Lytechinus pictus: one gene and its partners. The protein of the gene in region 2 interacts with the protein of the main gene of each other region in a pairwise test. Links are inferred from orthologs where the notes say so. Each region holds a gene or a part of one and is shown on either strand. Other genes may lie near its edges.

Region 1 (7,812 bases), on a different chromosome or scaffold from region 2:
AAAGACACATGCAAATATGCGTTGCCGCAAGATGACAATGGCGAATCTCCGGCTCCAAAACAGGAAAATCTGAAAGGGCCTCACCGCCAACAGTCGAAGTTTAACAGTAACAGTACCTGAGTAAAATAGAAAAAAGTCTGCTTTGCCATAATTATAAGGAGTAAGATAATCAAAATTTGTGCCGTAGAAATAAAATCATAGATTTTGAAAGGAGCATAGCTCTTAAAGATGAACGATAAAGTCACATTCTTCGTTAGTGACCATGATGTGACAAAAAATGTATGTATATATAAATATGTATATAAATATAAATATATATATATATTATATATAAAATAATGTAAGATACAAGACTATTAAGACGTTGCTGAAAACAATTAAGCCAAGCTTTCGGCATTAAGACTTCGTCGATGGCTCTGTAACAGATTAAAGCCGAATGCTTGGCTGTATAATTATGTTATGATTAATTTTTCTTCTTCACCACTCCTAACACTTTTGTTATATCTTTCTCTCCTTCTTTTTCTCTCTCGCACTCACCACATATCCACCATCACATACACCCATTCCTCCCCCCCCCCTCTTTATTTTCCAATAAGTCCTAATGCAGTTAAATACTAAAACTTTATTTGCTTTATTTTTCATAAAAGTGTGTTTGGGAAGAATAAAAATCATAGTCATGTTGGAGGTTTAATGGTGCGCGAGGAGAGGGGATTAAAGAAGAACAAGAATACTTATTAAAACCACTGAAATAAACAATGGGCTTTCGAGTACCATCAAATTTCGTTAAAAGGATACTCCGGTCTGAAAGTACGAATAAATAGAGTTGAATTTGTTTTTATTTTTATCTTTTATTATTGACTATTAAAGTTTAGCAATATATTTTGTGAAAACCGTTATTACGCACGTCATCATGAATATTCATTAGGTGGGTTGACGTTGTCACATCCCTGCCTTCTTTTTTCTATATGTTATTACATGAAATCAAGCATAATGTGTATGATAATGTCTCCCTTATTAAAAAAAAGGAAAAAAACAAGTTGCAGAAATTGATACGTAATACCCTATATTAGTGTGAATCCAATTTTTTGTCTCGGCTCTCATTTCTTTATTTTTGCATCAATTGTGTTTACACTTGGTACAAATAACCATTTGGTAATACCACGCATGTTTTCATGAGGATGATAAGGTAAAAAAGATCATATTGCATATGGCCTGTTTTATTGATCGCGATATCAGGCGAGACTCTTGGTTCGTGAACCACCTTGTTGTTTTATTCTTGAAGGAAAAAATTGAATTAACATATAAGTGGGGATACGATATCATCAGTTTGTTCATTGAATATTCATGAATACATGCATAGAAATATATACTGTTTTTTTATTTAATGCAAGTCTTTAAAATACCATAACTTCGTTATTCCTTGTCCGATTTTGATGAATTTTTCAGTGTTTTGTTGATCTTAATTTTCTTTATTTGTTCAAATCATATTATTTTCATCCTGGAGTACCTCCTTTAATCCGAAAATCATTTTTTTTTCATCACGAAGGTTCTAGGTTCGTAGTAGGCCTACAATAGATCTGATCCTATATAATAAACTACACAGAAAAAACGTTGGTTAAAATTTGTCTGCAATGATGTTTACTATCTGAACTTTACAATAGTTGTTTAATATAGTTTAAACAAAATAATGTTTAAAATCTTCAACAATTAAACTTTTTAATTTTCAATACTCAAATTAGGGCGTATGTTTTTTAAACTGTTAAACAATTAGGCCTATTGTAATGTTCATATACTTTTTGTACTGTGCTGTATAAGATTTAAACAGCAATTTTATTTGTAAGCCTACTAATCTTTCTTTATGCCCCCCCCCCCATTGAAGTTCGAATTTGCAGCAGCCTTTACACAATGAAACGATGTTACTAACGATGTGGAGCGTTGTGGCTCAGTGGGTTAGTCTTCGGACTTTGAAACAGAGCGTCGTGGGTTCGAATCTCAGCCATGGCGTAGTTTCCTTCGGCAAGAAACTGATCCACAATGTGCTGCACTCAACCCAGGTGAGGTAAATGGGTACCGGGGCGCTATGAACGCCTAGCTTAGCCGGGTAATATAGGAGCGCCTTGAGCACCTAACAAGGTGGATATGTGCGCAATATAAATTCCCATATTATTATTATTATTATTACTATTATAATAACCTCACAGTAGCTTTTTAACAGTTTAAACAACCACTGTTATTGAGAATTAATTATAAAAAATTAAACTTTATTGTTTAAGATATTAAACACCTCTCTTTGAACTGTTATATGCATGAGAGGGAGAGGCACAAAAATATTAGGGGCCGCGGAAGCGGGGTAGGGGCTTCAGCCCCCCCCCCATCACTTTTTTCCAAAACCGTGTAAAACGTAAAATTGACCATATGATTATGATTTTTTGCATGGTCAGCCCCCCCCCCCCCCCCCCCACTTTGAAAACCGTTCCGCGGCCCCTGAATATGGGAGAAAAAAGGGGGGGAACTCAGTTGGTGCAGACGAGACAGCATTACCAACACGAACAGTCGTGGATCCTAGATTTACCATTTTTTATTTATTTATTTATTTCGTTTTGTTTACCCAGGGTAACCCCATCAGTGGACTAAGCACTGTTTTTCTTGGGGGCCCTGCATACAAGTAACAAATACATGTGCATACATATAATAAATACAAACAATGAGAAACAAGGAAGAAAATATGTTCAAAGAGACAAGCAACCTGCAGGACATACAGACATACTGAAATACATGTGTGTATAAGTAGAACAAAAGTCAACATATTGTGCATATGCAAATCCATATAACTATATATTCCCTATGATCATATGATTATTGATTAAGTTTGTGTTTAAATATTTGTTTGCTTGTCCCTGGAACCAGCCAGATAGGGGTAGTTATTTTAATTCAGTAGTTTCTCGCTCTCCAATAAGATGTAGCGAAGGATTGCCTCGAGACTGCACTACGGGTACCACTATCCAGCTGGTTCCAGAGAATGGCAGCACTATGAGAAAAGGCCTTTTTTCCAGCCTGTGTGCGTACAAGCGGTACCACTACACCATTCTGGACTGAGTTTCTAGTTCTGTACGAGTGGACATTACTAGATCTTACTACGAGTTCAGAGAGATATATTGGCGCTTCCTCGTTAAGGATAATGTGCATTGTTTTACATCTATGGTATTTCCACCTTTCTTCAATCGACACCCATTTGAGTCTATGGAGCACCTGTTCAATAGGTGTAGAAAAATTAACTTTTAGGATTAGACGGGCCGTTTTCTTATGCTGTCTGATTAAGCCATCCTTAAGATACTGTGCACACATGCTCCAAGAATTACTACAGTAATCAAAGTACGGTAATATAAGTGAATTAGCTAAGACGTTTGAACTGTCAATCGTGAGGTATTTTCTAAGCCTACTGAGAAGAGCTATCCGTGAGCCAATCTTCTTCATTGATTCTTCTACATTCTTTTGCCATGTCATGGTATCATCCATCCATACACCTAGATATTTATAATTATTGACTCTTTCAAGCACGTGGTTATTAACAACTAGGATAATATCATCACAGGTTGGTAGTTTCCTGGGGGATCCAAAAATCATGCATTGAGGGTCCCGTGTCACTTATGGTAAATCGCTAAATGAAATGGCCTATCAAGATCATCGTTGTAATAAGCGCACTTTGTCTTTGTTCGGTCTGTAGACTCACTATGAACCAATCAGAATTGTTCTTTCAAATTAGCTATTAATCAGTAACCTTTTTGGGCGAGCCCTATATAGGAGGTGGAGATCTGGAGAGCGTTTCATGAAAGGACTTTATCCGACAAGTCCTGTTTTATCCGACTATTACTATAGTAATAGTACCTCTTAGCCAATCAGAATCAGGGAAAGTTGTCAGATCTGACAACTTGTCGGACAAAAATGTTGATGAAACGCTCCCCTGGTCCTTGTTTTCGTCTTTTGGGGGCAAAAAAAAAGAGGGAAAAAAATGAAGTGCCATCACCGGTGCACGGCGTTGAAAACGCGCCAAGTTGCTATGACCTAAATGACTTGGATTAGGGTCAGATGTAGCACAGAAAGAGTCAAATCTGACTTAATCGTGCCGCTGTTAGAGGGAAGTTGCTTTCTCCATTTAAATCCCAACAGACTGGCCATACTCCTCCACCCAAGCCCCCATGCCCCCAACGCCAATTTTGAAAATAAATGCGCTATTGTTTCCTAGCTTATAATAAATCAAGACAAGGGGACAATTTGAAGCCTCTGTATGTATTGATTGGTTGACTTGTAAAGCAGGTTGATTATTCTGAACAAGACTCTCGTAAGTTTATAGTATTATCACCATAATCTTCATTTAATAAAGAGAGCTAATATATTATCGTACTCATTAGTTTATTTCTGTTTTATTAGCAGTGAATTTTAGAAACCCCCCCGCCCCCCCCCCCAATAAAAAACAAATCCTCATATCAATTCTTATATAAGCTGGTAAATAATTGTCAGTGCTTAATGTCATCAATGATTTAATTCACTTTTAGATGGCATAACGGCTAGCTGGATTTAATCATATGAATATTTTGTTGAGAAAGAAATATAGGCCTACTTACGCGAAATTATTTTTTTTTCCAACCACACTGCAGCTGCAGCAGCTGCTTTTGTCGATTCAGAAGTCGAGCGCCCTCTATTTTTGGAGTACCGGACAGCGATCAGTAATTTGTTTTTGTGCATGCATGCTGAGTTCCCGGGTGCTCGACAAGCCCAACGGTTATAGCGGATCTACAGTTGGCTAGACGCCGTGTTTGCCCCGCACCCGTTGTGCAGCAAGCCGCTCATGAAAGTAGCCGAATGAGAAAGCAACCTGGTTATTTGTTGTTTGTACACAGCATGAGAGGAACTCTTCCCTTTTGATTTTCCTGTGACGTGTGAGTAGACGCAAAGTCAAGGCGGGAGGAAGTTAGGCCTATTTCGGTAGGCCCTTCGGCTTCGTTAGAATAAAAATTTAAAAAATAGGGCATAACTTTTTTGGGTCTTCAATGTTCAAATTTCAATTCAATTTCAATCTTCATTCAGGTCTTAACTAGCCAGGCGGCTTCTAGAGAGTAAAAATCATTTACTAACGTAAGGTTACTCTCATACGAAGCCAGGCCTTCTATCCCATAGACCCACACAATGGAAGCCAAAACCTGAAACTTTCACCCCCGAGATTTCTACTTTCCTTCTAAAACAAAAGATCTAGGCTAGCTCTAAATCATGTAGTGTACATGGGATAAAACTTCATTTCCGACATTTCTACGCTCTCATTGTTATTTTTAAAACAAGAATTCATTAAAAAAATGAAAAAATATTGTGAAAAGACGGAAGAGACTTGCCCGATGTTTACGCCGCCATCTTGTTTCTTATTGTACTTCCCCAACGTTACGCGACGCTCGCGTCCGTAATGTTGGGGAAGTACAATAAGAAACAAGATGGCGGCGTAAACATCGGGCAATTCTTTTCACAATATTTTTTCATTTTTTTAATGAATTTTTGTTTTAAAAATAACAACGAGAGCGTAGAAATGTCGGAAATGAAGTTTTATCCCATGTATGATGGGGGGACCTAAAGCTACGCACTTTGTTTCCAAACGATAAAAACTATGCCAATTGTAATATTTGAACAATTATTTTTCACTAATTTGTAATAAATATTCTAAATATCCTTAACCAAGAAGAAAATATCACAAAACTCACTAATACGAAAATCCCGCCGTGTTTTCCGAACACCTCTTAATTTCGCCGCCCGATGTAGAAGGGGTCCTAAAGCTATGACTCAATTTATCATGCAAAGAAATAGTATTTCCTGTGCCTCAATTTCTAAAATATGTCCGTATTATTATAGGAAAATATGAAATCAAAGTGAATATAACTCCGAAATTCCAAACATTTGCTGGTTTTCTCTGCATTTAAGGATTTATTGCAGCCTCTGTAGAAAAATTGAATAGGGATCGTTCGTCACAGCTTCACACACAGAGCTAGAGTGCGCATTTATTTTGCCATTGGAATTGCATGCGCGATGAGTGGTGCGTAGCTTTAGGACCCGCGTAGCTTTAGGACCCCCAACCATACATGATTTAGAGCTAGATCTTTTAGAAGGAAAGTAGAAATCTCGGGGGTGAAAGTTTCAGGTTTTGGCTTCCTTAGCTTTGTGTGGGTCTATGAGATAGAAGCCCTGGCTTCGTATGAGAGTAACCTTACATTAGTAAATGATTTTACTCTCTAGAAGCCGCTTGGCTAGTCTTAACTCTTACTTAGAGTCTAGACTCTTGGCCTTGGGCTTCCTCAAGATAGTGATGCTCGTGTAACGTTAACACTCAGAATTAGGTTCCACTCCACTTCACTGGAGTGGAACCGACACGAATATCACTTGAGGTAAAAAACTTAGATCTAGGCTTAACAACTGTCATGACTGTTGACTGTTGTTAGTGTAAATGTTGGAAATTAAGTTGTATTCCATTATACCATATTACCAGGCATTAACATGATTTAGATCTAAAGTTAGATATAGCCTTCTAGGCTTAACTGTTGTATAGTAAACTAATACTTGCAATACCGTACGTGTGAGTGGGGCTAGAGTTAGCCTTGAGGTGAGGACTCCATAATGTTTTTTTAATATTTTGACATATATTTCTTCATTATGGAGCCTTGACACTCTTCCCATAGATGCAGAAGCGAGACCTAGACACCTAGTCTTGAGGACTCCATGATGATATTTTATTTAATATTTTGACATATATTTCTTCATCATGGAGTCTTGAACCCCCGTCCATATATAAGAGACACAAGTACACAAAGATGGATTTCCCTAGGAAATCAATAGTTAGAGGGTGAAATCGGTTTGTAGGGTCGAATTTTATTTATCTATGAACCTTCAGGTGCCTAATGCGTATAAAGGGATAAAAATTATTTCACTATAAATGGTAAAAATGAGACGTTTCTTACCAGACCCGATCTCCTGTAGATCGCTCGATCCGTTTGTCAACAAAGCAAAGACAATAGACCTGACCCTTGAACCGCTTCGTGATGACGTACATCCGACTAGCGATGCCGTTTTGAAGAACAATTTATAGATAAAAATTATTATTTAACAAATACTAAAATTTAATACGTGATATTATAAATAATAAAAAAAATGTAATGATAATAATTATAATCACGTATTTCCTCAACTTTTGTTGATCTTATTCTTTCATCTTCCTGCTTTCAGACAAGTTTACTTGTCCAAAGATTTCATTCTCCTTTTAAAAGCCATTGGACATTGAGCCAGCATATATGTGGGTTCTGATTGGCTTGGGTCTGTAGGAAATGCTTGCATGTCATGCTCTAGTAGAGTTAGTCCCCAATGCAATACATAAAGCTCATTCATAGATTAAATACTCTTATTCATTGCATTTGGTAAAATAAAGTTTTCTTATATTTTCAGATAGGATAGTGGTTGAAGACAAGATGCAGAGCCCAGAAGACAACACGATGGTTGTGAGGATGATGGGGGACTTTGATCGCTTTATTGCGAAGGATATAGGTGAGTATCAGCTGAACTTACCTTTTCAGTCGGTATAGTGCATTTGTAATTATTTCATAGCTAAAAGGATTCTCAGAAATACAGTAGAGTAACTAAGAGCCACAAACAGACAGAATAAAATAATAACGCCCACGCAACTGCATTATGATTATAATGTTTACGGGCCGAGAAATTGAAGCGAGAAAAAAAAGAGAAATCCCGCTTAGAAATATTACGCTTATTTCAGTACTGACGTCCACT
Region 2 (7,522 bases):
CGGGGCTCTCAGTAAATTTCTTTAACATTCAATCAAGCACTCTGTGTGGGTTATTGTTGATCAATTTTGACAAGTTATATTTTATTTTTACAACTTTTAAGTGTGCTTATTCATGCTCAATGAAAATCTCAAAATAAAATTCATTTTGGGTACCTTACATGTATTGTTGGTCTTGGGGTGGCAGGTCACAAATGACACTCTTCCGTGATATCATGGAAAGAATTTGATAGCTCACAATAACATCTTTCTCATGTCTGTGTTATCCCTTCATTGTGTATGTATATTTATCATCAAAGAAATAACGCACTGAACAATGAGTCTAATACTTTTAGTGGAAATAAGGACTTTTAGAACACATACTGGCTTATTCAATTGTTAAGAATGAATCAATGTTGCATGTTGAATCGATAAAAAAAAAATCAACAATTTCTACAGCTGTTTATTATACACTGTACATGTAAGTACAATCTTCAACAAGCCAAGAATAAAAGACATCAATGTTACGATCTTACCGAGGGGACTGTTTTCTAGCTTTCTTCGGAGAAGTTGTTGGTTCTCCTGAGACTCCAGTGACCTTGGGTGCTGTTTTGGCTGGGACTGTTAGGGCTGATGGGGGCAGCAGCTTGTAAGATGGTCCACCTAAAAATAGGTAAATGTCAAAAAATATACTTTAATTATGCTTCAAAATTAGGAAATTATATACATGACATTTAATCAGCAATTGTATCAAAATTAACAACCAACAATGCGTAATAGATCTATAACACACTCATAATTTTACAAGACTTCATTCGCATCTATAGAAATGCAACACTTCCCAAAGGGAATTCAATTTTCAAAGAGTAAATTGATATAGAGGGCTTTTAGAGGCAAAAGGCAACTATATGTATGTGTTTTCTAAAAAAGGTTTCAGTCAAAAAAGATTATTCTTTTGGTAAATTATAAAACTTTCCATATTTATACCAAAATGCAATGTGACAAGAAGATATTATTTTGTAACTAGTGTATAGAAATTTTCATTTTGCATACATATACAAGGACAGGGTTGCTCTGCGGCCTTTTTTAAATATATTTTAATGTTTTGTAAATGGTATTTAGCAATTATTTATGGTGAAAGCATATTATGTGTATCTGTGTTAAGGCTGTGTATCAATAAATCTTAATCATTTGATATTGAAGATCCTACTAGCCAAGAGGTTGAATAGGGGCAGCATGCAGCTAGGTTCAGTTCCATCACTTGAGAAGATCTCAATCCATGGAAATAGATTCTACGGTAGATCTATAGACCTTTATGCATATTTCAATTTTTTATTTTGCTCCTGCTCTATTTTGCATCACTTTCATTTCTTGTGGTGCATGGTGATCAATGTCATAATGTTACATTCTTTTCTTAGGAGTACCGGTATCTCATTCTCAGTATCAAAGATACTAGTACAAGGGGAAGATCGGACACTTCGACGATTTTTTGAAATGCTCGATAAATGCTTATGGGGAAGGGCGCCCAACAGCGTTGAGTAAGTAAACCTTCGCTTATCGGCATGCGACTGTGTATAAAACATATGGGGAAAATGAGAGAGGGGAGTTTGGAGAGGGCTCACATGGGAATAATTCCATGTTTTAATAGTACCAAGAAACCTCTGAAATATATTCATCTCAAATTTAAGGGGGAAAAATTGAATGAAAAAATTATAAAATGTAAAAATCGTCTATTTCTTCACCCCTTCACCATTTCTCTCATATGTTTTGTACACAACCATCTCGCGATACAAAAAGGTAGTTACTTACTCAACGCTGTAGGGCGCTCTTCCCGAGCGTTTCATTACACGGTCTATGTACCTTATACTATAGTGAGACCACCACATATCGACCACCTCTTTTGAAACCGACCACCTTGTGCGCATTAAAATTATTACGTATTACAAACGATATGCGCGGGAGAGTAGGCTCAGTTTGACACATCGTATAATATAGACTAATGCAAGGAGATGGCTACAAATTTTGACGCTTTATTATATAAGCGTTGAAGATCGCTATATTTGCCATCTAACTTTAATTATAAATACCATGAGAGAACAGGGGAGCGTTTCATGAAACTAAAGCCTTAAAAAAGGATTTGCCGGAAGTTTTATCCGACAAGTCCCATTTTATCCGACAGTTACCATAGAAACAGAGACTCTCAGCCAATCAGTATTAAGGAAAGATGTCAGATCTGACAACTTGTCAGACAAGAATGTTGATGAAACGCTCCCACTTTTCAGAACTCAAATCTTTCGCCCTGCCCGGCTGCCGGGCCGGGCCGGGGGCCGGGCGGCGGGTCGAGGCTGGGCGCTGGTTTGCTGCTTAACCAGAGCGGCTGCCAACATCCCCACTATGGCACTAAGTCGCTACTCAGTTCACGAACTTTTCAAAAGTTTCTCACATACAACGAGCAAAAACATTCAATAAAAAAAACATCATGAAATATGATGAACTGGTTTATAATGTTGTTACTATACTTACCAACGCCATAGCTAGGGGGTTTCATGAAATGTGCCGGATTTTTCAAAGGTCCCGCCATTATTTTGTTTCAGCTTCATCGCCTTTTCTCATTGATCATCCGACATCAGTCAACGACGAGCGGGCTTAAAATGAAAGTCTAAGAATTATTTGACGGACATCAGACGGAGTTGTTGAACAAGTTGGTGAGGTAAACCATTAAATTTCATTTTATTTAATAAAGTCTATGATTTAAGAACGAATTGGAGTGAATCGATATTCATATTCCCCAAATAATTTGTAAAGAATTCATTGGAAATTAAGCATTGCCCCACGTATTAAAATACGTGTCAGTATTCAAATGATTGTCATCATTGTGAATTGTGCGAGTTTTTGACGAACTCTGAGTCTGAACTTCATCAGTCTTCTTCTTCTTCTTTGTTGTTCTTCCCCTGGTATTCGAGGATCAGCGGCTATTCGCAGGTTGGTTGTTGTGTTGTAGTAATTTCAGTCACAATCTAATCACTCATTCACAATGAACAAGGTTATGTACTATAACTGTTCTTTGACTTTGTTCTCTTTGTGATGAAATGATTAAGGTTAGCAATGCCAATTTTGGGGCTTTGGCTTATTTTCTCTTTTTCTTGGGGACAAATTATGCTTGATTTTTTGACACTGCCAGTTTCCATTACAGCTATCCATCATATAACTTGGCTCTTAAGTAATATTTTTTCTAAATTAAAAATCTAGTTCTAGCCACTGAACTCCAAACGAAGTCTAATCCTTAACATGTTTTACTTAATTTTAAGGCTGAATGAAATTTGAAACCCAACCCTGAAAATCTGAGTCAAATGCAAATTGTACTAGTGCCAGCACTTTACATTCAACTGATATACACTGTTACAATATGTTTGTGGTGAAGTTTGTGGTGATGAAATTCAGAAATATCACATGCAAGAAGGGGAAGATTTTAAGTGATGCTTACTAATATCTGAAATTCAAATTTACTTTTAGGTCATTGTATCTGAATTGTTGTAATTAGTCTATTGACTATTGGACTTTCTTTTCATTTTCCATATTTTCTTAGAAACCCTAGAGGTCAGATGAGCTCAAAATTCATCTAAATCACCTATCCATGCTTCAGGAATATCATGGCCATGATAAAATGGGACGTACTCATACCAAAGAAAACTGGTGACAAGATTCCTGTGGCCTTTGTTCTGCTGGAGCTGATAATTGAGATTTTCTTTGAGTTATATGTAGTATTTCCAACCCTCTTTGAGCCATTTTCCCAGAGTTACAACATCCATTTATCAATCGGCCTCTTCCTCTTCTTCAACTTCATCGGCAACTTCTACCTGAGCATTGCCACTGACTTGACATCGGGACCAAATATCCTCCCGTCGGTTCTAAAACCGGACTGGACTTACTGCCCTACCTGCATGATCAACAGCCCCCCTCGGGCATCCCACTGTTTCATCTGCAACATCTGTGTCCTGAAGCGTGACCACCACTGCCTGTACACCGGAAAATGCGTAGGACACAACAACCAGCGCTACTTCATGATGATGCTGGTGTACTTTGCGCTTGGCGCCCTCTACGCCAACTACCTGAACATTGAGTTCACGTACGAGATGCTCAACAGCCTCAATTGGCGAGTGGTCGTTACGTTCTTCGCTCCCGTCATTGGATGGATCTTTGGATTCACGCAGTCTCTCTCCTTCCTAACTTGCCTCCAGTGTAGCACCTGTGTTATTTGCCTCATGTTATCGTTGGGAATGATTTACTACCATTTAGCGCTCATCCTTCGAGGGCAGACCACCAGAGAATGGCGGAAAGGGATCCGTCGGTACAACCGAGGTTGGTGTCAGAACCTGCTGGACGTCTTCGGGACCAGGTGGTACCTGATTTGGTTGTGGCCGTGGATCTCATCCCCACTGCCAGGGGATGGCATCCATTTTGTGAAGAGAGATAAGAATTTGGAGAATGTGAAAGATATATGACAAACCTGACACATGTTTTCATTTCATTCTACAGTGACAGAAGATCTTTTTAAACTTTAATTCACTTGCAATGATGTTTTTTGTATTGATTAATTACCATTTGTATTTATTACGTACAAATCATATGAAATTGCCTCAATATTCATTGATTTGTCAAATTCCTACTAATAATATCGTGAAATTTCTGTCAACACTACTTAAAATGTATTATGTCACGTTGCAGATATTTTCTGGATTTCAATTATTTGTAAATTATTGAAGATGTAATATCAGCATCTATGTACAATTAACTTTGTGTGCATTTATAGAACTTGGCAAACTATATTGTGCTGCTTTTGCATCCTCATCTCAAATGGGAAGGCATAGATTGCAGAGTTGTAGGCAGAGAGGTGTAAACCAGGATCGGGAAAATGTGAAACTGGTGGTTCATGTAAATACTGGTAAATACCTTCTCAATGTTATGACATTGAAAAGTTGGGATTTTTTTAAAGCAAAGACCCGTATGTAGTTAGAGACAATCATGGGTGTATTAATACATGATGCCATACCATTCAAGTTGGGGGATGAAACAATAGTTCACTTCCCCCCCCCCCCTTCCCCCTTGGTCAATCAATAGGTTCACTGCTTGAATTTACACCAGTGGGACAATGCTTGATATCTCGGCTATTCACACTGCTAAATTATTATTCATTATCAATGTTATCATTTTTTGTTTTTGATATGAAGCCCTCACCTAAATTCAGAGCCATCTTTCGAATAGGATTCCCATATAAAACAGCAGACAAAACAAACAAGGAAACCGCCATTCATGAAAGACACTAGGCTATGCTTTTGTAGGCAGGTTCAAAGGAACAATATATCTTTCTTGGTGACATTCCTTTGTATTATTTTGCCTGCAGATACATCTAGCTATTAGATTAGAATAGATTGGATTTGATTTGATAGCATTTATTCCATTCATTATAAAAAACAAAACGAGGCACATACAAAGTTAACATACATTACATGGGAAAATTGTGAATAATGCAATGATATCATCTGAGAGATGGGAAACAGAGATGGGAAATTCCAGCATGAAAGATGTGTCTCTGACTTTGATTAGATCTCTCATTGTTATCATTAAGTAGTATTATTATTATTATCATCTTCCTAATCATTGTTTACAATTGAATTATCAGTATTTCATATTTGTTTGAATAGTGACATGTAATTGTGCTTCGTTTTGGTTTCCATATATACCTTGGACATAAAACAGTATTCTTGATTTGCAGCTGGCTTATTGAATTTACACAGAATTTAATATTTAGAATGTACCAATATGTTCAGATTTTGATAATTCAGTAGTGATTATACCACGATATTGGAATGTAGACATACATGCAATATTCTTTTTTGCCTCGATTCTGTGTGGTGTCTTATAGAAGTACTCCTTCTCTTGGGGCGTCACGGCATTTGCTCCTGCGACATTTGGTCCAGTCTTATTATCTCAGAGGGCATAGAGTTAGAGTTAGGATTCTAATACATTTTTTGTTCAGAAAATCCAGATTTTATTGTTTGAAATAAAAATCCTCTGAATATAATTTGTTTTGCCCAATTAATTGTGGGCCCGGTAGCCACTGTGCAGCGCCAGATCGATGTTGCTATTAATTTGCCATAACATGCCTCCACTATTAAAGTCAGATGTACTGAAAGGTAAATCAAAATCTCCAACCTTTTGTGCAGATGGTGTAAAGGATCAAGTATGAGGAGCACTATTGTGTCTGCTATACTTATATTCTCCCATACATAATGTCAATTATTTATAAGAGACTTGCCAAAGCTGTTGCAGTTGTACAAGATAAGCAATTATACAAGTATGCTGTTTGTGTAAAAATTTAACAGATTTCTGATATATATTGATAAGTATTGAAAAAAATAATCTAGATTCTAGATTGACGGATGATTAGTTTGGTACATTAGGTAGACAGTTTGTACATTATGTAGGTACCCAGTTGGACAAAGAACAAAAAACAAAATCTGTTAACCTATTAGATTCTTTGGTGCTGCACATACGTTAGTTGAAAATTAGAGGAGGAAAAAAATGATTCTATACAGAATATATGTATATGCAGGAAGAATCCAATTTCCACCAACTTATTAGGATGAAATTTGTGAAAGTAGATTTGTAATGCCATGGTGTGGAGAAGTTTGTATGCAATTAAACCCACCTTATGCAAAATGCAGGGTAAGTTCTTGTTTAGAATAGATGATGGACTCTTGCTTACTACTTTACTGGCAGATAATATGGTATGTACTAAAATAAAAGCAGACATTTCACTTAAATTTTAACATTGTCAGAATTTAAATGCTAGTATATTTATCGATATATACCGTATGTAAAGAGTTGGAGACCTACATGTACAAAATAAATTAAGTCAATATGTTTACTGACCATTTTGACATGAGAATCATAAAGTGAATCATCGTTATACAAAAGTGTTGAATCAAAATCACTTTTTACGCTACTTAGACATCATGAAATATATGGAAATTTCTCTGTAAAACATTAGCATGAACGGAACACAAAATGTAAATTGTAAGTATTATAGAAAAATATGCAATAAGAATTAGATACAGATTTCATTCGACATTAGCACAATGGGATGTGAGCCTAATATTTTTCTTTTTATATGTATTGTTTGATACATTTATGCAATTGCCATAAAAATTAATGAAGACAGTACGATACCACTCACCGAACCTCTCCTTTGATTTATTGCAATTTACTCTAAAATATATATCTCTCAAAGCCGTTTTACTTTTGTATAGATAGTCTTTATATAAAAGCATTTGATCCAATATTACTTTATGCAATGAACATTGGTTGTGCTATTTGTAGGTTAACCCAATGATTATTTCAGTGTAAACATACTGCAGGTGACCCTTCTAAGGTCAAATCTGTTGGCACCCAGGAAATCTGTTTGACCTAGGAGAAATTTGACTTTCAAGATGTAAAATAGACACGTTTTGCTTATTCTGTTCTGCAATGATGCTTCGAGTAAAGC
Region 3 (7,939 bases), on a different chromosome or scaffold from region 2:
TCCAATAATTAGCATTTTGGGCAAATTTACACCTATTGCTAGGGTTAAGTAATTGTTTCACATTTTTAGATAATAAGACACAAAATTTCATACATTTTAAATGATTTTGTTCATTCAAAATGGTGTTCTGTCCATTAAAAACACAAAGTCCAAAAATTTTAATATCCAAGGGAGATATTTTAAATACATGAATGCACAGCTAACCAAAAAATGGGGGAGGGAGTGTCGGTAAGTTTAAAGCCATCAATATATCATTTCATAAACTTACAGTTAAAAAAAAACACTTTACAATAATATTAATCATCTCTAGGACAAACCATCGTCAATGGACATAAAATTTAGCACCCATTATCAAAGGAATGCATGCATTATCTGACCTTTCAAAGAGCAGAATCAAGTGCACTTTAAACATGAAATTCTGCTTCCATCTAGGTAAAAGTTTATTCACATTTGTAAATCGGGGCCAAATTCTTTTTTGAGAGCATTTCTTTAAAAATCATAATTTCTATAATATTTTTGACAGAAAATTAGTAATTACTGGGAAATTAACCTAAAAGCAGGCATTTGAAACTATCGCAAGAGTGCTTCAATATCTATGAAAACATCGAAAAAAAATTATATTGATCAAACAACCAATAATCTACAGCATCTCTCTCTTCTCATCTGTTCCACTTTAATAGACAAAATAATAGTAATAGGGACTTATAATTCAATCTTTAACAACATGCCGGATAAGCTTTTATTGGTTTGTCTTTTTTACTATATCTATACAGCATGTATCAAATTAATTCATCAGAGAAGTAACTTTGATCCATATGAAAATAAATATCCACATATCAATCACTTCATGATTATTCATATAGTTTACATCCCTGTATATTGGTGATATGATGCTTAAAAGAGAAAAAGTAATTACAAGGAAATGAAGTACTTACTCTGGGACTAGTATGATGATACATGGTGAGGATCTGATGGATTTCTTAATCAACACTTATTGAAGCCTGACATGCACTTTGAAGATATCAAGTCATACTCGGTACGTTTGTTACCAATACATGTATGATCATCATCACGAACACACCATCTACAAGAAAAATCAAGAATAGGAAATAATGCAGACAGAAAGCTGGACACAAGAATCTGCAACTCAAGAAAGATGAACACGATCATCCTACATGTATATGCACTGGCTATTAGGTTTTTATACATGTAGACCTATAGATATAATAAACTAAATTTTGTTGGCTGACATGCCCAGTAGTAATCCTCAAATTTGCAAGTCCTACAGTACCAAGCCTAGCTACCAAGGATATAGAGTCCACAAATGTGTCATCAATCATGGCGATAACATTGTCGGGTCAGATTTCTTCACTGAAGGCCTACTGATGAAAAGGCATACATGTAGTACATATGGGTTTGCATCCCACTTTCAAACTTGCTTGATTCAATTTATTTTTTAGAATTATGAATCAATACCTTTTATTCCGTAAAAAAAAACTTACCCCGGTAATTCAACAGAATTTAAGGATAAAAAAATTGACTTATAGGCCTATTCACTTGGTCTGGAAGAGTAAATGGTAGCTAGCTAAACATACGGTACATTTAAGAACGAATTGGGTCAAAAAGACGGACTGAATCCAAATCAGTGTTTCCACAGATCCAAAACAAATTTCCAGAAACTGAATGCCAAATTTCCCCAAATTCATAGACATTTCCTTGAAGTTTCAAGATTGATTTTTAACAAAAATACAAGTAGGGCAATAATAAAGCAAGCCTAAATTTGGTCTAAGTGACCAAAATCAAGGAAATCAAAGTCAAGGTACATTTTTTTTGTGTACGCCCTCTTTTAAAATAGGAAAAAAATTATGAAATGTGAGCGCGGAGCGCGAGCAGAAAATTTTGAGCTACATGAATATTAAAAGTTGCTACGTTTAATTATTGTGAATTGTAATTTTTGGATTTCCCAGAATTTTTTCATTTCCCAAACCTTTCCTAGAAAAAGTCAAAATTTCCTGAATTTCAGGAAAAGTGGAAACACTGGGCCAAATGCAATAAATTACAAGTATAAAAATCATGTGCCTAAAGGCTAAAAGTATTCCAACTTCCAAGGATGACAAATAAATTCCACCGATACAGATATCAGACATACATGCACTATAAGTATACATCAAAATACTTTCAAGGTTTTCTTTTAAAATATGGGCATCTTTCCATTTCCAGACAGTGCAATCTATTGAGAGCTGATCGCCAACCCGGCCTCAAGAATTGAGGCGGCTATACAGACGAATCCCCATACAGACAGTATACCCAGTTTTTGTGTGTCCGGACAGGTTGTGTGTCCGGACGATCAATTTTAGGAAGTCATTTGAAAAAAAATCACAGGCGAAGTTTCATCAATTTTTAGTACAAAATGTAGGAAATATTATAGAGAACAAAATAGAAGATGATTACAACTATTGAATTCATATTTTTAGGGTAATCCAAAGACAAAAAAGAAGGCTTCAAAAATATAGTGTCCGGACACCCAACCCCCCATCCTATCCTACCAAGACAAAACTGCACTGTCGCACACACTCGACACTGCACTGAGCTGATATTGATTCGAGACCAAAGTATTCTGCTATAAATTTTATCCTTATACTCGAAAAGTCGAGATATCCGGATTCTAAAGCAATACAATTTGACATGAAACTAATGCGAAACTCATTTACATTTAAATTATTATGATTTGAGAGCTACTTACCACGCAAATAAATATTTCCTTCCTTCGATAGAGTTGGCTTCCAAGTCACCGCACTGGTCTCGAGTCAAATCCTCACGAGTCGAGTGTAAAAGCTCGATCGACCGGGCCGGCCGGTTGCGTTGCCGGTGACACGCACAGGAGATCCTGAGCGTTCCTAGCGATATCGCAGTTATGGAGACGAGACGCTTTTGATTGGAGGCGATGAGGATTGAGGGCAATAAAGAAGCCGGATGTGTACAATACACTGAACTGAAAATCAGTGGTACAATACAGTGGTATCCGCCAGCCGATCACTTTGGAATTTGAAGACGGCATACCTGTATAGGAATCAGCTTGGGGGGGGGGGGGGGATGACCCTTGGAAGCGGGGGTGCTGGGGGTGAAAGCACAACAAAATTTCCTTGAGGTGCTGTGTGTAGTATTCTCCATAGATGTGTAAAAATGGAATAATGTAACCAATATGACTTTCATTTTGTAGTGAAACTTTATTTTTTTGCTTTTCAAATTTTTCTCCAGACCAATTTTACTTCCATTTTGTAGTGAAAACTTTTTTACATGTACTTACCTTTGTGAATGACAATTTCTAGCATTGACCCCCAAAATAAATAAATAAATAAATGAATAATAATAAAAGCGGGGTGCACGTGATCACCAAATAACTTTCCCCGTAATTCCAACAACAAAAATTGATAAGGTGCAACAAATTACCCCTGTGCCTCATCAGTTTGTATTATAGGCCGAAAATTCACAAAATAAACGATGTTTTGAAAACGTAATAAAACAGAATATTGGCTTTAATCAATAACCTAAATTAAATGGGGTCAATTCAAAAGTAAGATAAGCCTAATGAGAGAGAAGTATAAATAATTATGTAGAAATATAGGCCTAAATGAGCTCACCGCGGGTACCCTGGTAAAAGGCCAGCGGATGGCAGTGCAAAAATTGCATAAGACTGAGGGGAATTAAAAGAAGCCGATTGAACAAGATCATTAGGCTTGCACTTTGGTAACATGACATCGGGGCTATTATATAGAAATATACATATAATGACAGCGGTACCAACACTGGGCGAGTTGAGAGTGTAACATACAATGGCATGATTTAGGTCGGTCAAAATAGTGAGATCGATAGAAATGCGCGTGCAAATGAAACAAAACTTTTGAGTTAAAGGGATGGTCCGGGCTGGAAGTATTTATAGCTTAATAAATGGAGTAGAATTTACAGAGCAAATTGCCGAGAATTTTATCAAGATCGGATAACAAATGACAAAGTTATTGAATTTTAAAGTTTAGCAATATTTTGTGAAAACAGTTGTCATGAATATTCATTAGGTGGGCTGATGATGTCACATCCCCACTTGTTCTTTTGTATTTTATTATATGAAATTAGGTTTATTCAATTTTTTTTCTCCCAAGAACTAGAAATTTTGGATTGACAACTGATTTAGTGCACTAAATATTTATTGCTGCAATTTATTTCATTATAAGGGAGACATATTATTCACACGAGTATGAAATAATGAAAAAAATATGATTTTATGTAATAACATAAGAAAACGGAAAGTGGAGATGTGACATCATCAGCCCACCTAATGAATATTCATGATGACTGTTTTCACAAAATATTGCTAAACTTTAAACTTCAATAACTTTTTTATTTGTTATCCAATTTTGATGAAATTTTCAGCATTTTGCTTAGTGAATTCTACTCTATGTTTTAAGATATAAATATTTTCAGCCCGGACCATCCCTTTAAGTGAGAGAGGACCAAAATGAGTGAGTCTCACTCTCAATGAGTGGGAGTTGGGAGCCCTGTGAAGTGGTGGTGGTGGTGGTGATGATGATGATGATAGTGGTGATGATAGGCTGCTGCTGCTGCTGGTGATATAGGGATATAGGCCATCAGCGGCGGAACTGCGTGGCCAGGGGGGAAATTATGCCCCCCCCCCCTTGCCCAAGAGATATTTTGTTAATCGATCATCAGAATCAGTGGCGTTATAGGTAGAGGCAAGATGTCTCTACATTTAAGGAAATGGGAAAATCTAAATTAAAGGAATATATAGGGAGAGTGAGGCGGATCGATCGAGGTATATATACAGCGACAGACAAGACCACAAAACAAAAAATAAATAAACAAAAACACAGAAAAAACGAGAACAATACGGAGGATTGGAATCCCTTCCATGTAGAGTAGGCATAAAGGGGAGGGTGCTCCTATACCTGGGGACGTGGGGGGGGGGGGGGGGCGGGGGTGGGAGGTAGAACATCACCTTTTTATATATTTTTTCCTCTCTTGTCATTTAATATTTCATTTTGTAATTGCTGAAACGCATCAGTATTAATTTCCGGTATCTTTGAAGTTTGATGTATAATTTTTATAATTCTATGGGTTATGGATTTATTGCATAATTTATAATCATGTTTCAAATAATTTGTACAACTTGCTTATGGAATGTGAATGTGTATTTTGATTTGAGAGAATACAATAAAACATCCTTTAAAAAGATTAATATTGCGATGTTAATGAATGGGTTCATTTCAATTAAAAAGTGTTTAAATTGACCCATTATGCATTTTAAAAACAAAAGATTTTCTCGAGCGGTCACTCCGCCCCTTTACGGAATGGCCATGACAAATTCCACTGTTAGGCCTTATTGCAAAGTTTTTATCAGCTGCATCACGAGAGTATGGTTATAATGAGTTACTGATCACAAAATGCCTTTAATAAAACATTTAGGACAGCATTCAGGGGGGGGGGGCACACTAAAAGCGGTATACATTACAAGTTTTTATTATGGCTCTCAAGGGGAAGGGGCACACGGGCCGGCTGTGTCCCTTCCTGTATTATTAAAATTTAAATCAAATTTTATAAATATTTTATTGTGAATGGAATTATTCCCAGAATTTCAATGTTGTCTCATCTCTGAATATGATTTCAAAGATCATTCATGTAAATATTACCCCTTTCTGCATTATTTTCCTTTTAATTTCGATTTCTGTACTATTTTTTTCGGTTTTGGATGTGTTTATCAAACATTGTCTGTGGTGGCCCATGATATATATTAAAAAGGCCCCCTTATTCCCGATCATGGTCCCATCTTTTTTTCCATTCTAATCTCACCTCTCACCAGTGAGCCTGAGTTCTCATTAAACAAATCTCGACTCATTATAATCCTCATTTGCTCATAATTTTTTGGGGTACTTTTGTGAATTTCCTTATTATCTTATACGACTGAAGCAACCTTTGCAACAGACAATAGTCATTGAAAAACAATATTGTGATAGGCCGTCACCAAAAGTGGAAGTACATGTTTTACGAACGCCTGATTACATAGTCCTTGATGTGGGGTGCCTCCGAATTTTCAGCTCATCATCGCTGCGTGCGAAAAAGAAAGTTACCATGGTAACATTATCGACAATTTCTAGGATGAATTAATTACTAGGGGTGTCCACTTTAAAAATCGTTTCGTAGAAGAGAACTGCATGTAGAACAAAAACAGTAGTAGCAAGAGTCAACTGAGATATGAGAAGAAATGAAGAATACAAGGAAGAAGATGCTAGAAATAATAATAGATAGATAGAATGATAGATAGATATAGATATATAGATAGATAATTAGATAGGTATATAGATAGATCATTGATTTGTTGGTTGATTGTTTGATTGATCGGTTTATTGATTGATTGATAACTTGATTGATTGATTTACTTATATTATTGATTGATTAATTTCATTTCCCAAGTCATCCTAAAGTAATTGATTTTATCCATCAAATAGTATGCTTGAACAGGATAACCCACGAAAGCTCAGAAGCTTATTTCCAGAGATATAAATGGGGAGGAGAAAAATAAATCACCCAAAACACTAAAAAAAAACTTACAGCGGAGAAATCTGTACTTCGATATCATTGCATGGACACCTGCATTTTTATTTTATTGTCATTTTTATTTTATTGCTATTCGATAAGCATAATATATAAGCATGCTCTTTCATAAATGTTTTGTTTCTGGAATCATTGTATCGTATTTTCATGATTTTTGTTGAATTTGACTTTTGTACATACTAAATATATATATAAGGATTATCAATTTCAGAGAAAAAAGAGTGAGTAGAAAAGCAAGAGGTTAACGGAGTTTTGTAGGGTATAAGAGGATCGAGGTCCGAGAGAGGAAGGGTTAGAGACGCAGAGGGAGGGCTGACATAAAACTATTTTGAAGGTAACAAAATATTTGGCTTTAGTTACAACTTATGACTTTATGTGGTGTATTGAGCCAAAATTATCAATGGGGCCAGATTCGGGAATTTGTGAAAAATATATGCAAGGGAGAGAAGTGAATGGGCAAAATTTGTGACCTTTTTTATGATATAAAATATGATTCTGGGATAGATTTTGACTATTGAAAACTATCATATTTCACCTTATTACCCCCTCTTTTTTCCATTTTCTCCCTTGTCTATACACGATAGTATTTATTGTCAAATGATTTCAATAAGTGCAACATGTGCATTCTGAAAATATGAGCGAGCAAAAATTTCAGCATTTTTATGACACAAATCCATTTTGTGATAGATGTTCACATTCAGAAAATAAAATATTTTACTCTTCTCCGTTTCCTTTTCTCTTTTTTTTTCTTGGTCACAACTTTTTTTTTTTTTTTTTTTTGGGGGGGGGGAAGAGCCCCCCTTCCCCCCTTATGTACGCCCCTGCTAATGAGCAAATATGCTAGATTTATCCAATTTTTTTTCATGGCTGCATCTGCAAAATCTTGTGAATCAGATTTTTTTTCTCTAAAAATGTATAATCAAGTCAAATTAAACATCATTGCACCATTGGACAGAGTAAATGTTCCTCTTTCATATTAGTCATTTATTTTGTATTGACTATTTTGATAAATAGTGAATTTCAGGCATGAATTTTCTTCCCCTGTTTTCTTTTGCAAATCATGCAAAACCTTTTATTTTGAGTCTTAAGTTAATAATATCTATATTATCAGAAGCTGGAATTCTGTACTTTCTCACAATGTCACTCTTGATATGTGGCAACTTTTAATTGGGTCTAGATCACACTTTTCCCACCAAAGTACAAGACCAGATTAATAACATTTTGGAGTAGCCTAAAATCCAGAGTCCTGGTTAGCTGGATAGGGTTTCAAAACAGCTAGCAGGTGCAGGTAATTTGAAGAGATTACCGCATGGGG
Region 4 (7,660 bases), on a different chromosome or scaffold from region 2:
ATAATGATGATGGTTATGATAAATGAAGATGATGATTATGGATGATGAATATGGATGATGATGTTGGTGGTGGTGATGATGATGATGATGGTGGTGGTGATGATAATGATGACGATGGTGATGATGGTGATGATGATGATGGTGGTGGTGATGATAATGATGACGATGGTGATGATGGTGATGATAATGATGGTGATGATGGTGATGGCATAACTTTTAAAGCATCAAATCCACTCTGCATTCGCTATGCACTGTGCACTCTGTTTTTAATCCATATGAACAACATTACATAAATCATGAATAAAAGTTCAGGATTTTGTAAAACAAGATCTTCGTTAAGTCAACCATTGTCTTCAAAAGACAAACTTAGTTTAGTAATTTACAAAACAAATAATGTATGAAAAATAAGTGTTTGTATATACTCACCAAATTTTGAAATGGCATCAGGTTTGATCAGCCCTAATGTCCTGAAAAAGAATGAAATGAAATAGATCATATTGTATTCCACAATATAGGCTACTATCTAACCATAAAAAAAAGATCTAGAGGAATTACTGAGAGATTTTCAAAGAACAAGTAGAAAACAAGTTTTAAATTACTTGATTAGGGCATGACGACCCTGAAACGCAAAAAGATAGCGCCACAAATTTTTTTGACTATTTTCTTTGAAACCTCGCGCAACTTTTGAGACCAAATTCGCAACATACGGGTATATGTGTACCGTAAGTCTAAGGGAGATATGACCTTTGACCTTGGTCATGTGATGTGAAACTCAAGCTGAATGTTCAGTAATACTTGATTAACCTTATGTCCAAGTTTCATGAACTAGGTCCATATATTTTCTAAGTTATGATGACATTTCAAAAACTTAACCTTAGGTTAAGATTTTGATGTTGATTCCCCCAACATGGTCTAAGTTCATTGACGCTAAATGACCTTTGACCTTGGTCATGTGACCTGAAAATAATGCAGGATGTTTAGTAATACTTGATTAACCTTATGGCCAAGTTTCATGAACTTGGTCCATATACTTTCTAAGTTATGCTGTCATTTAAAAAACTTAACCTTCGGTTAAGATTTGGTGTTGACGCCGCTGCCGCCGTCGGAAAAGCGGCGCCTATAGTCTCACTCTGCTTCGCAGGCGAGACAAAAATTGGCTTTCAAAACTTTTCTTTGTGGAAACCTTTAAATTAGATTACAAAGGTGACATCTGGAAAAAAGAAGAAGAAAATTTGAAGTGAAATTGGGTGTTAAATATGAAAATGTTTTTCACAAATAAATTTACATACTTTATTCATAATAAATAAAACAATTGTTTTCAGAATTTTTTTATACCTGTAGGCTCGTAGTTTCTGTGGTAAGGAATGTGCATGCCAAATATTGGCGTGATCGCGCAAATGGCGGCCAAGATCAGAAAAAGGGGGGCATCATGCCCCCCCTAAGTCCAGGGTACAGGTACATCTCAAATAGTCCAGTTCGTTTAGGGTTAAACATATAGAGGAAACATTGAGAGATTAGAAGAAAAAAAAAACAAGAAGATTATGAAGTTTTAGATTTACTCAATTCCCAAGCATGATACCATGTTGAAAAACTCTAGTGTACATGTAAGATGAGATCAAACTGGCATTAGACCAAATGGCAAGGATTATTAGAATTAGACCAAATATGGCAACTCGTTATTTTTGCTTATAAATACTTACTTCTGTTTGACATTTGTAAGCGCTCTCTTCGTGAAATCATCAGCATACTCAACCAGGTTCAGCTGACGTGAGTGAACATTAACAGTACTGCCAACAAAGAGGTCTCTTAGATGGACTGAATCGCAATGTGATCTCTTCAAGAACTGACGTCTATTCTTTAGGTCATACTGATAAAAAAGAAGGAAACAAGATTCAAATTAATTGAATTAAAGACCAAGTCATCCCAATGACAATTATCATTTGAACAAATTAAGATAAAACTGACAATTTTTAGCGTAATATAAGGAAATAAATAAGGCTGTTACTTCTCTGTTTTTATATAGATTATGCAAATTAAAATCAAGGTTTGCCATAATTGTAAAATTCAAATTCTTCAGTGATATGTACAAAACATATAAAGATTGCTGCTTCATCATTATAAGTTTTGTAAATCAAGTAAATCTTAGAAAAACATTGCAATTAATAGATAATACAAGCACTATATATGCGGATTAAAAACCCTTATTTTGAATACATGCTAAACACAGTAAACAGATGTGAATGGAAGATTTTTAATTGATGGACAGTTGTGTTGTTCATTGGATTTGCTTTGATTTTCATAAATTTAACTGTATTTTTGATTCAGTAATTTCAGAGGCTATTCATAAATTTAAACCTGTCTGAAAAATAATTGAGAAAGATTAAAATCTAACTCAACTTGTGATTGATCTAAATAGGTGTACCGTAGAAAATGTTGCATCAATTGCAATTCGAACTAGATTTTAATCTATTTCAGCTTTTTGCAACACAAGTCCCAGACGTAGGACAGGAATATCAAGTGCCGAAATACACGTATGTGTAGATTCTTAAGCTTCAACAAACTCTTGAGGTTTTTAAACAAAAGTGCGACAGTTTTTCCTCATATCAAAAATTTGGACAAATGTTGGATCAGAATTCATTGTGTTACAACATCTGACTTCATTTTATTTTATCAAATAATTTAAGTTACAAGGTTTCCCCTTCATACAATAAACAGTCATGTCATCAAATTCATGAAACTGTTCATTCATCAAAATTGAATCCCCACAAATTTGGGTTGCACATTTTCTACGTTGGGGAAGCGTTTGAGACAGGGGCCAATCTGATGCAAAAAAAATGCATACTGAGTAACCATTGCCATCTGGGTGGAGACGGGCAAAATGTGAATTTGTTTGTTTAGCAAATATATGAGATGACCAAGGCATTACAAACAAGCTTACCATTTCAATGGTGTTATCATTAGGGTAGAAGAGGAACTGATATCGTCTGATAATAGCTGCATTGTTGTCGTACCATTCACAAATGAAAGAGTAGCGACCATCTTGGGCAGAGCTTGCCTGCATGCAAAAAAGAAAGTTATTTGATAATATTAAATTATTGTACTTTTACAGTGCTTAATACATTGGAACCACATTTTTAGTGCTTGACAGATATAGGATTACCCCACTCATCAAATACTGGTATTCCGCAGGCAATGTACGCACTTTCTCCATTCCCTCAGAGTCTAGTCTTTAATTGGTGAGAGTAATCTTTATCGTATCTTTCGGTATCAATGATTATAAATGTTTCGTTAAACTATATTTTGATGACGTTTGGAATCATAAAAGTCCGTATAATTATCATCATTTTACAAAGTCAAAGAAGACCGTTATGGTTTACTTTTGTAAACTATTAAAATTGGGTCTCCCTGGGGTACCCATCTGAACGTCCACAACTGTACAAGTGATTTTTTAGTCATGAAATGAATTATTCATAATTTAATTTTCTCTACAATTGAATGCTCCAGTCTTCATGGTCTAAGTATGTATGATGCATAATTTACCTGTGCTAGTAAGTAGTATTTTGAAAAGATTTATTTACCAATTCATCATAATATTTGCAATTTTGCCATAATTTTTCTTTTTGAAAATAATGCTATTTTGTGACGGCGTCTAACTGACTCTAAACTTGTCTAAGGCAAGCCTAAGGCTACGTCTCGTTTGCTCTTTTTACCGATAGTATCGATATCAAGGAATTCTAGCATGTCTAGTTAGGAAGACTTTCGATGAAACAGGTTTAGTAAGATTGGAACTAACTCCGTGGTTGGTGGATAAAGATATAACTTGTCCATGTGTTGAGAAATTAAACGGGCCCCTGCTCCACTTCCTCGAGCGCAAGCGAGCCTTTGCCTCGGCCTCGGCGGAGGAGCTCCGCCTCCGCATGCCGCTCGGCTCCAGCTCGAGCTCCGCAGCTTGCAAGTTAATAAGTGGAAATAGGCAACTAATGAATATATTACATATTTATTTGATACAGTAGCCACTATAAACACTCACCATTGTTAAGCTTGTGTTCTAAGCAGTCTTCTCTCCTGAAAAGTGGAAAGTTCGATAATTCTAACAAGTAAGTTTGAGACGGTCTGCTGCAAAATTCGTTTGAGGTTGTCAAGCAACAAATTTTGAGTAAATCAAAAGTGGGGTCAGATTAAGAATTTTTTTTTTTACAAAAAAAGGATTAAAAAATTTGCGTTTGAATAAACAAAAATTTTGTAATGGATTATTATTTTTTTTGTAATAATTGATTGTAAAAAAATATAAAAATCAAGCAAAATATAAGTAATAATATTCAAGTCTTTAAAACTTATCGGCACCGTTATAGATAGGTGCGCGCCCTCTTCGTTAATTAAATTATAGGAGTTTGAGAAAGTCGAGACGAAAACAGAGACTTGTAAGACGTATTTTCTTGATTGTGAACGGTAATTGAAATGATCAAATCCATGAAACATCATCAATAAATCGACACAAGTGTATGTGCACTGCTCTTCTTAGCTTGTTCACGTGAATCTGAAGAAACAACGAGTAAGATGTCGATACCTCGACCTGCCGCAAATCCGGAAGTTGGCAGCGGGGGATCTACGGGTCTCGGTCCATCAGGAACGCCAGCGGTAACCGGGACTGGGACGTCGGCGAACCCCAAAAGTACCGACCAGAACCAGAGACTATTTTCCTTGAAGAAATGGAACATTGTGGCGATGTGGAGTTGGGATGTGGAATGCGATACTTGTGCAATTTGCAGGGTTCAAGTCATGGGTAGGTGTTGTCTTTTTGAATGCCCACATTCCACAATTCAATCTAAATTGTAATTAAAAAAATATAATATACCGGTATATATTTTCATTTTTTTTGTGAGACTGACTGAGCTGAGACTCGGACTGAGTTTGAGAAAGTGAGAGAATCAATCTAGGCCTATGCTATATGTTAAAAATAAATTTTATCTTCGTTGAAAATATAAACGCCGGCCAGTCACTTTCACTTTGTCTTTGAAATAAACAATGATTGTCGGCCGGTGGCGTACCGCCGTAATGCATTCCCATTAATTATGTCTGACATGAGCCAAAAATTTTGAGGGGGCCAGATGTTAGACGTGGCATATCGGACAAAATTCATAAAGTTGAGAGTGAGTGAAGCGAGTCGGAGTGAGCGAAGCGAGTCGGAGTGAGCAATAATTTTGACACTTATTACAAAAATCCAATTTTTTATGGATTTTTACAAAAAGAATATTCAGATAATAATATCATATTTCACTCTTCATGCCTTTCTTTTCTTTCCTCTTCTTTTTTGTGAATTGTGGTCATAAATTTGTCTCTTTTTTTCATGGTTGTGATGTTAAATTTTTTTGGGGAAGGGGCAATTAATTTAAGTGCCCCCAGCCCCCTCTCATTCGTATGCCACTGATCATTGTGCTCCATGTCTCTTCATCCATTCACCTTACTAGATTATGATTCAGGTATTTTGATGAGGAAGGCAGTATTTCTTCTCTTCAGTCATGTTTGATATTCCTTTAAAATGCGTGTGCTTGAGTCTATTTGCCAAGTTTTCATTTATTTAATTGTGCTACATGTATTGAGTATGAGTATTCCATTGCCAGCAAGCTTAGTTTGCAAAACCTCACAATAAACATATGTAATTATTTTCTTTCAGATGCCTGCCTAAGATGTCAAACAGAAAACAAACAAGAAGAGTGTGTCGGTAAGCCAATCGGTCATATTCCAATGTAAAGGCCAAGTGAAGTCCACCTAAACCTGAAGTCGATGTGAATTATAAGAGGAAAATTACTTGTCTATAATTTAATCAAAATCATGTTAACAAAGTTTGTTAAATAGGAGAGTGACTGTGACAGAAATTCATTGTGACTCTGTGGGATATTTGGTATTGCTTTTTCATTTGCAAAGTACATGTTTCTTATATTTTTTTTCAATTTTAAGTTTTAATTTTATCCCATTTTTTTAAAGTAGGGGTAATACTGATACATGTAAGGAAGCTGTTAAAGATTTTATCAGGCTAATTCTATCAAACCATTCTTTGACATTTTTCTTTATTTATCTTCATGCTTTGCAGGAATAGGTAATGAAATGTTATGCAGATGGAAACTTGTTGATAATTAGTTAAAACAGAGATGTATTGATTTGGTTTTTAAATATAATTGGGTTTATTATTCTAATTCTGTCCTTTTCAAAACAATGTCCAGAATATTTGGTTAATTTTCATATCTATCATACTTGAAAGTGCAATGTCGCCCTCTGCATTTTCTGAAGTGATATCTCATGAATTGAGCTGCTGAGTGCAATGTATGCATATTACATGTACAAGAAGGGCCATTTGCAAGAAAGTTGTACTAGTAATCAATTATCAATTATTTTAATAATTCACGCACTACATGCCTGAAAATGTAAAAAAAAATCAATTGATATTGATTAGCTGATTTCCATAGTTTCAAGTTCAACTGTTTTATAAATGCACATCCAATTGCCAATAATTTTCTTGCCATGCCCTCCCTCCCCCCCCCCCCCCCCCCCCCCCGTGTAAAAGTATCTCCATGTAATTCTTATTTCTACATCTCCGTATCAATCCCTTTACCGGTCTTTTTCAACTTTATCTTTTCAAGCTACCCGATGAAGCCTCCCCCCAGCCCTTTCTCAGTTTCCTCGTGTCCCAGGCGCATATCCAGCATCAGATTCTACAAAGCATTTCATGGGCCCAATTGTCTGGGGACAATAGGGACTCTATTATGCTTGTGCATGGGCCCATACATTTCTTTGTCTTAATTGATGCTGGATACACTAGTGTGTCCCCTCCATATTTTGTTCAATTTTATTAAAGGTCAAGTCCACCCCAGAAAAATGTTGATTTGAATAAATAGAGAAAAATTAAACTAGCAAAACGCTGAAAATTTCATCAAAATCGTATATAAAATAAAAAAGTTATGACATTTTAAAATTTTGCTTATTTTTCACAAAAGAGTGGTATGCACAACTCAAATGAGACAGTCGATGATGCCCCTCACTATTTCTTTTGTTTTTTATTGTTTGAATTAAACAATATTTCATTTTGTATAGATTTGACAATAAGGACCAACTTGACTGAATCATATAGTATTTAAACAATGCCCATTCCACATGTTCAGGGAGGAATTAATCGTTGTTTCACTTGACAATGAGGAGAAAAATAGAATATTCCCTATTTCATGTAATACAATACAAAAGAAATAGTGCGTGGATGACGTCTTCAGTCTCCTCATTTGCATACCCACCAGGATGTGCATATAACTGTTTAGTGAAATTAAGCAGAACTTTAAAATGTCATAAATTTCTCATTTTACATCTGATTTTGATGAAATTTTCAGTGTTATGTTTGTTGGATTTTTCTCTTTTTATTCAAATCAACTTTTTGTTGGGGTGGACTTGTCCTTTAAGTTTCAACTTACATGCATTTCTCTTGTCTTGTTCGGTAGAGCTTCCTGTAGGTTGCATGTTTTTCCTCTTATTTTCATCCGTTCTTCTCTTTCTCTTTGATGCAGTTGTGTGGGGCGAGTGCAATCATTCCTTCCATAACTGCTGCATGTCGCTTTGGGTCAAGCAGAACAACCGCTGCCCTCTATGTCAGCAGGAGTGGATGGTTCAACGCATA

The links.
Region 1: the proteins of coiled-coil alpha-helical rod protein 1-like (region 2) and mitotic spindle assembly checkpoint protein MAD1-like interact in binary tests that used the Homo sapiens proteins (3 or more experiments, as listed by UniProt). The link is inferred for Lytechinus pictus from reciprocal best matches to the Homo sapiens genes CCHCR1 and MAD1L1.
Region 3: the proteins of coiled-coil alpha-helical rod protein 1-like (region 2) and kinesin-like protein KIFC3 interact in binary tests that used the Homo sapiens proteins (3 or more experiments, as listed by UniProt). The link is inferred for Lytechinus pictus from reciprocal best matches to the Homo sapiens genes CCHCR1 and KIFC3.
Region 4: the proteins of coiled-coil alpha-helical rod protein 1-like (region 2) and nucleoside diphosphate kinase 7-like interact in binary tests that used the Homo sapiens proteins (3 or more experiments, as listed by UniProt). The link is inferred for Lytechinus pictus from reciprocal best matches to the Homo sapiens genes CCHCR1 and NME7.

Annotation. Positions count from the first base shown.
Region 1 is NC_087254.1:35,629,145-35,636,956, forward strand, and holds the start of mitotic spindle assembly checkpoint protein MAD1-like, read left to right. Parts: upstream 1-4,665; 5' UTR 4,666-4,937; intron 4,938-7,473; 5' UTR 7,474-7,496; coding exon 7,497-7,572; intron 7,573-7,812. UniProt on the Homo sapiens protein: Component of the spindle-assembly checkpoint that prevents the onset of anaphase until all chromosomes are properly aligned at the metaphase plate.
Region 2 is NC_087259.1:8,053,495-8,061,016, forward strand, and holds the start of coiled-coil alpha-helical rod protein 1-like, read right to left. Parts: upstream 3,078-7,522; 5' UTR 2,558-3,077; coding exon 2,500-2,557; intron 640-2,499; coding exon 513-639; intron 1-512. Other genes in the region: probable palmitoyltransferase ZDHHC24, read left to right, coding at 3,627-4,478. UniProt on the Homo sapiens protein: May be a regulator of keratinocyte proliferation or differentiation.
Region 3 is NC_087246.1:61,474,505-61,482,443, reverse strand, and holds the start of kinesin-like protein KIFC3, read right to left. Parts: upstream 3,064-7,939; 5' UTR 2,744-3,063; intron 1,085-2,743; 5' UTR 960-1,084; coding exon 936-959; intron 1-935. UniProt on the Homo sapiens protein: Minus-end microtubule-dependent motor protein. Involved in apically targeted transport. Required for zonula adherens maintenance.
Region 4 is NC_087260.1:9,045,580-9,053,239, forward strand, and holds the start of nucleoside diphosphate kinase 7-like, read right to left. Parts: upstream 3,062-7,660; coding exon 2,939-3,061; intron 1,868-2,938; coding exon 1,701-1,867; intron 468-1,700; coding exon 427-467; intron 1-426. Other genes in the region: RING-box protein 2-like, read left to right, coding at 4,558-4,783, 5,675-5,722, 7,551-7,660. UniProt on the Homo sapiens protein: Possesses an intrinsic kinase activity. Displays 3'-5' exonuclease activity with a preference for single-stranded DNA. Does not seem to have nucleoside diphosphate kinase activity.